Linked DNA regions of Zea mays. The protein of the gene in region 1 binds, or shares a complex with, the protein of each later gene. Links are inferred from orthologs where the notes say so. Each region holds a gene or a part of one and is shown on either strand. Other genes may lie near its edges.

Region 1 (4,932 bases):
CTTTGAATGGGTCGAGCCAGCTGAGTGAATCAACATGCTAATCTGATCCACAAGAGTATCCCAATCCCATTCACAGGAAGCGTCACGGTTGGTGACGAAGACGTTGCAGTGCAGGGCGAACGACTCCAGCGCGGGCGCGTCGACGCAGAGTTGTTTCAAGGCCTGGCAGCCCACGAGCTCCAGCACCCGCAGCGTCTCGCTGGCCACGCTCACCATGGCGAGGCGGGAGCAGCGCTTCAGGCTGAGGCGCTCGAGCGCCGGACAGTTGGCGACAAGGCCCCGGAGCGCCTCGTCGGTGACGTCGACGTGGCTGAGGGAGAGCGAGCGGAGGCCGGCGAGACCCACCGCGGGGAGCGGAATGGCGCGGAGGCTGAACCGACCGAGCGCCAGCCGCTCCAGTGAGTTCCTGGCCTGGAACAGATCGGCGGGGAGCTCCAAGAGCGGCGCCTCGTGACCGGCGTGCGGGACCTCCTCCTCCTCGCCCTCCTCCTCCTCCTCCTCCGGTAGCGGCGGTGCCAAATCCACTTCGACCGCCCTGGCGCCCCTCCGCAGGCCAGCCGCGATCCACCCGATGACGTCTTGCCCGTCCAGATCTGATGGGCAAACCAACGCCACGCATGAGTCTGCTGACCGGTTGGGTGAAGGCAGCCGATGGGGAGGAGTTGGAGGACGACAGTGCGCTGCAGGCCGCCGATGGGGAGGTGGAGTCCGACGGTGCGGTGGGGGAGGAGGTGGAATGCGATGATGGGGTGGAGGAGAGGGAGGGGAGGCCGCCGGAGTTGAGCGCAGTGGAGGAAGCGCGCGAGCCCGTGGCTGGAGCCGCCGGCGGAGATTAGGTCGCGGCCGTCGCTGGAGATTAGGTCGCACGGTAGGCTGCACGCTGGACAGTGGGCTGCACGATGGGATGGGCCTCAGATCTACACAAAAATTATTGGGCCGCACGAACCGCTGCCACATGTGTGTGCCATCTATTTTATTAGTGCCACATTGGCCATTGAGAGTAATGGAACATGGCTTATAAGGGCAGCTGTGGATTCTATGTTGCTCACTAAGAGAGATGGGACGGAACGTTGAGAGAGATGGAACGGAACAGAATGTAGCACATAAACTTGTGCATGTATTGTTTATTTTGTTGCGCGGGACTAACGGAGACAGAACAGCCGTTGGCAGAACGCGTCAGAGGCAGAACACGTCAGAGGCAGACTACTATTGCTTACTTAATAAGTAGTAGAGATATTGATTCCGTAGCAACGCACGAGCTTACACCTAGTCAAATATATATAAGATTAAGAATATAACACAACATTACATTACCTAACATTTAAAATACATATTTAGAATTATATGGCTAAGCCTATGTTAAATCTACAATTAAATCTACAAAATTGTGGTAGTGCTGGTCTGTCTTCTGAACCCGTGATTTGAGACTATCTCGATCCCTATAAAATTAGTGTAAAAACAAAGAATCTTCTGTAGTAATTTAGAAACGTATCATGTGCAAATCTACTTTTTAGTGTAAACCGTGCAAACAAGTGTTTTTTTAAATAACTCCTACTGTGCATTAGCTTCAAAACTTGCGCCAACGTGTTGTTTTGCACTTGATATATTCCAGTAATTTTTTTTGTTAATCACCACTTCCCACTAATGACTGAAAACTACTTTAGAGCCACGGTGGCCTAGATCTATTTTTAACCGGATTGTTTGTGTAATTTATATAAATTTTGATTAGTTGAAACGATTCTAAATGCATTTATGTATAATCGAACATGGGCACATGCCTTACTAAGATCAAACGCTATCGATAATTCGTCGTTTTCTGTTTCAGCATTGTATTGTTTTTTTACCTCAGTTCTCACACGACTACACGAGTGACACCAGCTGGCTTTCACAAGCTTCTCTTGCATTGAAACCATCCGGCCGGCCGCGATCTGACCCGTCCATTTGCCGATCCAACGGCCACCAACCCACCACCACCACCTCACGAGCCCAACCAAATTCAAACCAACGCTACCGTGCAACCAAACCAACCAACCCCATTCCTCCGCCGGCCGCCGGCAGCCGCCCGCGATGTCGAAGGCCGCGGCAGCGTCCCTCCCGCCGCCGCCGCCAGAGGTGGCGCACCTTGTGGAGCAGCTCCAGCGCCACCACCTCGCCCCGGACGCGTCCCTCCTCTCCAGCTCCGCGCACTCCGACCTCCTCCAGGTACGCCCGCCCGCCGCGCCCGCCACCCTCCTCACCCTACCGGCCTACCGCTGCTCACCTGATCCCTGTGCCGGCGCAGGCGCGCGAGGAGGTCGCGGCGGAGCGCGCGCTGTACCTCGAGGCACTGGTGAGTCCCGACTCCCCGCCCGCCTCGTCGGATCCGCATTTTAGGTTTTGCTCGCCGGGTTCTCATCAGATCCGGCGCTGTGCCGTAGGCGGTGTACGCGGAGGCGGTGGCCATGGTGGAGGAGTACCATGCGGCTGCCGGCGCCGGCAAGAAGCTCAACTGCTCCCCGCAGGTTCTGCTCCTCTGTGACGAGTCCTCATTTTAAATTGACTGGTGCAATTGTGCAAATATATCTTCAAATGTGAGTTGGGTGGGCAGTACTAGCTGAACAATAGACCGTGGAATTCCGCACGGTTGGTCAATGGGAATTCCTCATCGTTGGTTCAATTGACTTAGCACCATGTTCGGGAAACTGTCCAGCAAAAATTACATTCTGATTCAGTCGCTGAGCTTTGTCGGTTCTGAACTTCTGATCCAGGTGTACGAGTCTTTGGAGCACCGGTTGGCCGTGGCAGAGGCAGCACAGAGGCTTAGGCTCCCACTGCTCTCTCAGGACGGGGAGGTCCATGAGCAGGAGATCGAAAAGCTGAGCACCTATTCAAGAAGTTCATTCGATAGCACCCTCACAAGCGCGACACCCAGCTCAAGTTCAATCTCGACGAGTTACAACAATTATAGCAGCAGCGCTAGTGCGGTGACTGTTGCTGCTCCACATTGGAGTGGTAGTTCTGATGCAGTTGAACCTGGAGTTGGTGGTGTTCCTGACCGTTTTCTTGGGATCACTTCTGATTATCTCTACCAAGTGCAACAAGAGCAGCCAGCCATGTCTGTTGTAAGAACATTTTTTCGTGCCTAAATGGTCAATTCAAACCTTGTTACTTTTTTTATGTGGTTAACGTAATTCTGGTATATACCTTTAGAAGTGCAAAACTATTCTGTAACCAATTTTAGACTATGTTGCGTTTTATCCTTTTTGTCAATGAGTGAAAGAATAAATAAAATCTTCACCTGAACTTTGAAAGCATCTGCTTTTGTGTTGATTACAGGACATGGTTGATTATCAGAGAACTTTGGCTAGGGAGATTGAAGCCCGGTTAGAAGCCAAGTGTGATGCTTTGGCTGATCTATTTGCTATGGATGAAAGGGGTCAGTTACTGAAACTAGTGGAAGATTAGGAGAGAGGGATGGAGCAGTCCAAATTCTGGTTCTGGTTATTATTCTGTCTTACCTTAACATCTTTGCTGCAGATTCGTCATCCCTCAGTCAAATTTCAAGTGCTAGGCTTCCAGAAAGGTAGACTTTCTTATCTTACATTTTACATCACACTGTACCAATCACCTATTTAATATTAATACCATCTCACCGTCCCTTCTTTGCTGCAATCCCATCCATTTACATAGCCAACATATCTTGGCATGAGTGCCCAATTTTCCATGGAATTGGAAACTCATGTGGAGCTTGTGATATGATGAAGTTGGACAGGCGTCCCTGATAAGTATTCCTCATTTTTTTTACTTCCCATTTGACAGGGTAAAATTAATCATCGAAGAGATAGAGAAGGAAGAGGCACATCTCCTGGAGGACCTTGCTTCAATGGACAGAAAATTTGCTGAACATTATAATGTATGTTTGTATGCCTTTACTAATGCCTATTTTTTCAGAGGTGCACTGACTTTACCTTGGCACAAATTCTTTCTCGCACCTCTAAGTAATTAGCTATGGTTCTGAAAATTCCAAAGGTCTTGGAGCAAATTCTTGCTGTGCTTATACAGTTTGTTAAAGACAAGAAATTGGAGCATCAGCACCAATTTGTAAGCATTCTCATATTCTGTTCTCTGGTTGAACTTCTTCAAAGTAAACATGTCACATTTTCATACTGTTAGTATTATTAGTCGAAGTGTTTAACATGTCTCATTGTCTAACAGGATGATCTGAAGAAGACCTGGCTTATCAAAAGGTGTCGGACAATGAATGCTAAACTAAGGTTGGTACTCGCAACAGTGATCATATTATAAGTGTACAACAGTTGTTACTCTATACAACAGTTCTCTCTCTATATATTTTGAATTCCCTGTGCTAAGGGATTTGAAGATTAGGTTAACTATATATATATATATATATTACTTTGATTCCAGCTATCTGGAGCATCATCTATTGCGTGACACTTACACCAAGGACACAGTACCAGCACTGCACAGGATCAGGTATAGTTAAGGCAATCGATCTTGTAGTGGATATACTTTTTTAGTCATGTTGCACTTGTTATTCATAAGATGGATTTGATTTGTTAGGTGCCTTTGGTTTTCAGCGAAGGACCTTCTTGTAACATATTAACTGCTTTTGCAGGAAGTATCTTGTAGAGGCCACAAAAGAAGCATCCAATTCTTATAATGAAGCGGTAAGATACATGATTTTGCTTCTTGAAATATTTCCAATGTCTGGTTGTATGAACAGCCAAGAAAAAGCTCTCAAATTGGTGGCTACAACTCACGAAGAGTAGAACTGTACAAATCTTAAGAGCCAATGCCTAGCAGCTACTTTTTAGTGAAAAAACAACTAACTGATACCTTGAGGCTGTATGAAGTAGTTAGCATCAAGTTATAATTAATCATTTATGACTAAGCAAAGTCCTGCTTAGGAAGGTTAAATGTGCAAACATGTGA
Region 2 (4,775 bases), on another chromosome or scaffold:
CCTCAACACCATAAAAATAATTAACAAAAAATATAATTAATGAAAAGTTATTTTAAAAATACTGTTTAGTACGGCTTATGTAAACAATAACAAAGTTAGAGCAAAAGTTGCCCTGCCAAAGGGGCCTAAAACATATCAAATTTTGCCACGACATTGATTTAAGGAACTTATAGACCATCTCTCACAAGTCGAACATGCCAAATGGGTGCAGGTGATCGGATTAAAAATACAGAGAATCAATGCCAACTACACAAGGTGGAATCCTATTTATGTAACATGGGAACCTAAATCCAATGGGTGACCTGCGACCTACGGGTCCCTCTTGATGGAGGGCCAAGACAACCTCCTCTGATTCATGGCGTCAATTCCACTGCTCTCCAGGTTGATGTCATCCATTTGCTTCCAGCTATCGAGTATCGAGCCGTCTCTCCACTGAGGTGGCGTCAAGAACTTTGAATCGTCGCTGGAGTCACTTGGGGTTATTGACAGAGAGGAATGGCCAACGCGTAGTTTCTGAAGAGTAGAAAAGGATTCCCTCATCGCAGACATTGCCTCGAAGAACCGGGTGCAGGAAGCAAGTGCAGCAGGAATCGGTCGCAGCATTTCCTTCATTAAGAGAAAGAGGAATTTAAACCTATAACTAATGACAGAGGACATATGTACAAGATTTTTGAGTTGTTGTAAGGCATGTTAGTCACAATGAATACATAACAAAATGCACTGTTATCCTGACATGGGTTCATGATAAATCATATACTATCTCTAAAAATGAGAAAAAAACATGAATATATTTGTACAAGTGGAAAGTGTATTCATAGGATGACTTTGTTATGACTCCGATTAAAAAAATTAACTTACCCCCCAGACAGCTGGTGATTCCCTAAAGTTTTGGCTCCACTGGAAATCGCCGACTGATGCTGTCAATGCCCCATAGTCACTTGCTGCTTTCAGAAGTAGCTCCGAGAATTGTTTCTGACAAGAGATCAGCACATTAAGCAGGCAAAAAGAAAGCAATGAAAATGCATTAGGGGTAGGCCAACATTATCATGTTGTTTGCTAATTGCTATAGAAATTGCAAGACAAGAACAAAAATAAATTACCTGGTATTCAGCTTCAACTGGTATGCAGTCAAGGGAATAAGGCTGTTGCAGCCGAGCAATAATACGATCCTGATAGACAATAGACACAATTTTAGACACGTAGATCAAGTGATCAACTGGCTAATGCATATGTAACTGCTCTTGACACATCTGACTAAAACAACATATAACCTTGAAACTCAAGAAAGGAAGCAAGAATAATACAATGCAGGTATGTGGCTTATATTACCTTGTTCTGAATTACATCTTTCAAAATTGCAGTCATTCTGGCCAAAGACTCGCACTTCTTTTCCATCTCACTCACATGAGTCAAATGAGCAATGTTTTTATCATCCTGTGGCAAACAAAACTTCATGAATATGACCTATGACAATACCATAGAATCAAAGGAAAATCTACGAAAATAAGATATAGAAAATGGATATGGCACTATCGGAAAACAGCATGCTGGAAAGTACTGGGTTCAAACATAGACACTATGACAACGCTTATTTTCCTTTTCCAATCCCACATTACTATATTAGTATGGCATCAACATGCTCATACATTATCGTTTTTTTCTTTTTTCACAAGGCCAACAGAGGGGCCTCCTGGTGCCAACGCCAGGGATCGACTCCAGGTCGCCAGTTTGAGGGCTGGCTCAAGGAGCCACTTGGACTCACCTGCCCTATTGTACATACTACTAGGCTAAAAAAGATTTAGCCGTAAGATCTTAAGGATATGCGGACATCTTTAATCATTCTTCAAGGACCAGAGTATCAGACATAGTTCCAATAAGTGTGATCATCTAACAAATTCATTGTTAGAAAAAATAAAAATTGGAATTAAAAGAAAAAAAATACATTCCCTTTGATATCACCACAAATATTCATGGTAAAGGTAGGGATGGTAATAGATCACGATCTAAATGTTTCTTCACAATAAGTTAGGGACCCTAATTAATTTTAGTTCAAAAATGTATAGGAATAGAGCTCGATCCTAATCCGATTCGATACTTAAATTTTATAGTGTAAAATTTAGATCCCATTACCACTCCTACGTAAAGTAATGCTCATACTAACAGTCAACATGTAGATATATCGTATGAATATACTGTATCCCCAAAATGCTGTAACTCATTAGGAAGTCTCTCATCCCTGCCTAGAATCTCATTTCATGAGCAACCAAGCCAGAAATGGCACACTTTACAAAAGGGACCATAATCTGACCACCTTCAATAGAGAATCTAAAGGGATTTCATTATGAAATGGAAATGTTGTACAGGAACTGAAAAGCTTTGGCATTGTGTGTAACTGGTGCAAACATATAAAGCTTAACAACTGGATATAAAAACATCACCTTTCTTCCCTGTAGCTCCACTTGCAAGTTGGCAATGTTCCTCTGCACGACAGTCAGTTCCCTCAAAACCTTCACCAAATCATCGCTTTTGTCGGAGCTAGTCTGATCTTCCTGCAATGAGAGAAACAGAGGGGATAGTGAGGGCTTCAGATGGCCATTTGTTCATTGGTACCACCTCAGTTTTTGTGTGCTTGTGTCCAGTGCATCCAGTTCAGATTCTGTATTGTTGGCATAGAAACCTAAATTTAAATTTTAGCAACTAATCTAAAGAAAATAAACAGCGAAACAGATATAGCACCACACAGCAATGCTGAGTTTTCATTGTATTCGCATTTTGTTCTAAGATCGCAAAGTTTCTTAAGATCAACAACTCTTCACAACGATTATCCTAAATATAGAGCCATCCCACAATTTCTCTCCAGGAAATGACGCAAGCTTATGCAGCCTCGATTAACCGAACCAGATGCTACACCACCCAAACACACGAAATTTGTGCGCTCATGCCACTATTTCGGCCGCAACCCTTGCCTCCAAACATACATTTTCACAATCATTTCGTATCTAACTCTCCAGATGCCACCGCTTCCACAAACTGAACCCTACAATTTGTTCCTCGCAACGTAACGCGATCGGACCAAAAAAGCTAGATCCGGCTGAAGCGCGGGGATTCGAACCAAACCAGGCGGGCGGCAGGATTAGGCTGCGAAACAGATCGGGAAGTTGCGGTAGTGTGTGACGGACCTGCGTGGTAGAGGCGGGGAATCCGAGGTCGGCGGCGATGGCGAGCGCCTCCGCCATGCCGCCCAGCCTCTTGGCCGGCTTCGGCTGCGCCGCCGCCATGGCGTCTCCGGCGCTCGTGTACAAGGGGAGCCGGTGGGGGCAGGCGGAGGAGAACGGGAGCGTTTAGCGAGTGAGTTTGGCCGCGCTTCGCTTTCGTTCGGACGGCCGAGTTGGCTTGCTTGCTTGCTCGGCGAGCTCTATCTAATTTGTTTTTTTGAACCCCCAGATGGCTGCTGCTTACATAATAAGCCGCTCATTGTTTTGTTTGCAATCCAAATTGCTTTGGTTGATCGAACTATTTTTACACCTTTGCATGTTATTTAGCACCTGTTGGATACAAGAGTTAATTGCTAACTAGCTAAAATCAGTCCTATGTATAGGGAGCATCTTCAGTTGTCTTTCTAAATTTCACTATCTATATTATTACGCACAAACCACTTTATATATATTTTCAATCTCCAATATTTTTTTATATCTTATATGCACTCTCGAGAGTATTCACGTTTCCTATATTTAGCTAGCGAGAAACTCGAAATAGAAGATGGCTATATTTAGATAATCATTTGAATAAATTGTTGAAGGGTATTTTTTTATAAAAATCTCTATTCATATCAATTAGGAAGAATATAGAGAATTGCTAGTGTTTATGTTTATAGTTCACTCAAAGAAGACATCAAATGATCCGTAGAAGACTCACAAATATTCAGCAAAAGTCCAAAACACAAGACCGAGAAAGCACAAGTAAAGGTCCATGAAGATCAAGAAAACTAGGTTGTTGGTAGGTGCACTGGACCGCTTGCGCAGAGGTGCAGTTTTCGTGCACCTGAGCCAGGTGGCGCACCGGACCTCGACTCAACGGTCGACGATGGCTAGTCAGAAACAACCATCCGACGTGATGGTCACCGGACCTATCCAATGGTGCACCTGACCTCTGCACAATTGCAGGGAATCTACGAGATGACCAACAACTAGCTGACGGAGAGGGTTTCCGGACCAGGCCCGGTGCAACGCATAGGAGATGTTGTCCTCCAACGGATATATTTGGGATTGGGCTCTATACCACAACCGACAAATTAAGAGTGTTGAGAGTTGAGCAAACTCGCTATTGAGTTGGTACACATATCCATTGCTCCATACACCCCAAGTGTTTAATAGAATCACTTAGTGATTGCGTAGGTGCTTTGCAAAGTGTTTAGGTTAGTTAGATCGCTATTGTGCTTGCTCTAGGTTAGTCGTAGTTGATTGAGTGAGGAATAGACACCTCCAAACCCCTCGACTCTTGCACGAGTTGTAGCAACTTGTACCGAGTGGTGTGAGGTCTTGTGAGACCACAACAACCGAGTTTGTGGTGTGGCTACCACCGTGTAGCAGAGGAGATGAGACCCATGATGTTTCGACCAAAAGCTCGATAGTGATGACAACAGGGAGCGTCCAAGAGGAGCTGAAAGCGAAGCACCACTTGCGCGTGGAGAAAGTTCGCGACTCTCTATGTGCTTGACCCTCGCATGGGCTTGCCTTTGTGTAGGGGCACCAGCGAGAATTAGTTAGAACCTTGCA

What was found. Proteins that work in one complex are often made in the same cells at the same time.
Region 2: AUGMIN subunit 4 (region 1) and AUGMIN subunit 2-like share a complex: the UniProt entries of both Arabidopsis thaliana proteins name them as parts of the augmin complex. The link is inferred for Zea mays from reciprocal best matches to the Arabidopsis thaliana genes AUG4 and AUG2.

What each region holds. Positions count from the first base shown.
Region 1 is NC_050100.1:72,639,322-72,644,253, reverse strand, and holds the start of AUGMIN subunit 4, read left to right. Parts: upstream 1-2,004; 5' UTR 2,005-2,067; coding exon 2,068-2,202; intron 2,203-2,281; coding exon 2,282-2,329; intron 2,330-2,417; coding exon 2,418-2,501; intron 2,502-2,747; coding exon 2,748-3,101; intron 3,102-3,315; coding exon 3,316-3,415; intron 3,416-3,516; coding exon 3,517-3,562; intron 3,563-3,798; coding exon 3,799-3,892; intron 3,893-4,008; coding exon 4,009-4,080; intron 4,081-4,194; coding exon 4,195-4,253; intron 4,254-4,404; coding exon 4,405-4,473; intron 4,474-4,615; coding exon 4,616-4,667; intron 4,668-4,932. UniProt on the Arabidopsis thaliana protein: Involved in microtubules reorganization during spindle and phragmoplast development.
Region 2 is NC_050105.1:64,175,817-64,180,591, forward strand, and holds AUGMIN subunit 2-like, read right to left. Parts: upstream 3,380-4,775; 5' UTR 3,279-3,379; coding exon 3,180-3,278; intron 2,550-3,179; coding exon 2,439-2,549; intron 1,435-2,438; coding exon 1,330-1,434; intron 1,170-1,329; coding exon 1,101-1,169; intron 973-1,100; coding exon 859-972; intron 607-858; coding exon 310-606; 3' UTR 55-309; downstream 1-54. UniProt on the Arabidopsis thaliana protein: Contributes to the assembly of the acentrosomal spindle and phragmoplast microtubule arrays as part of the augmin complex.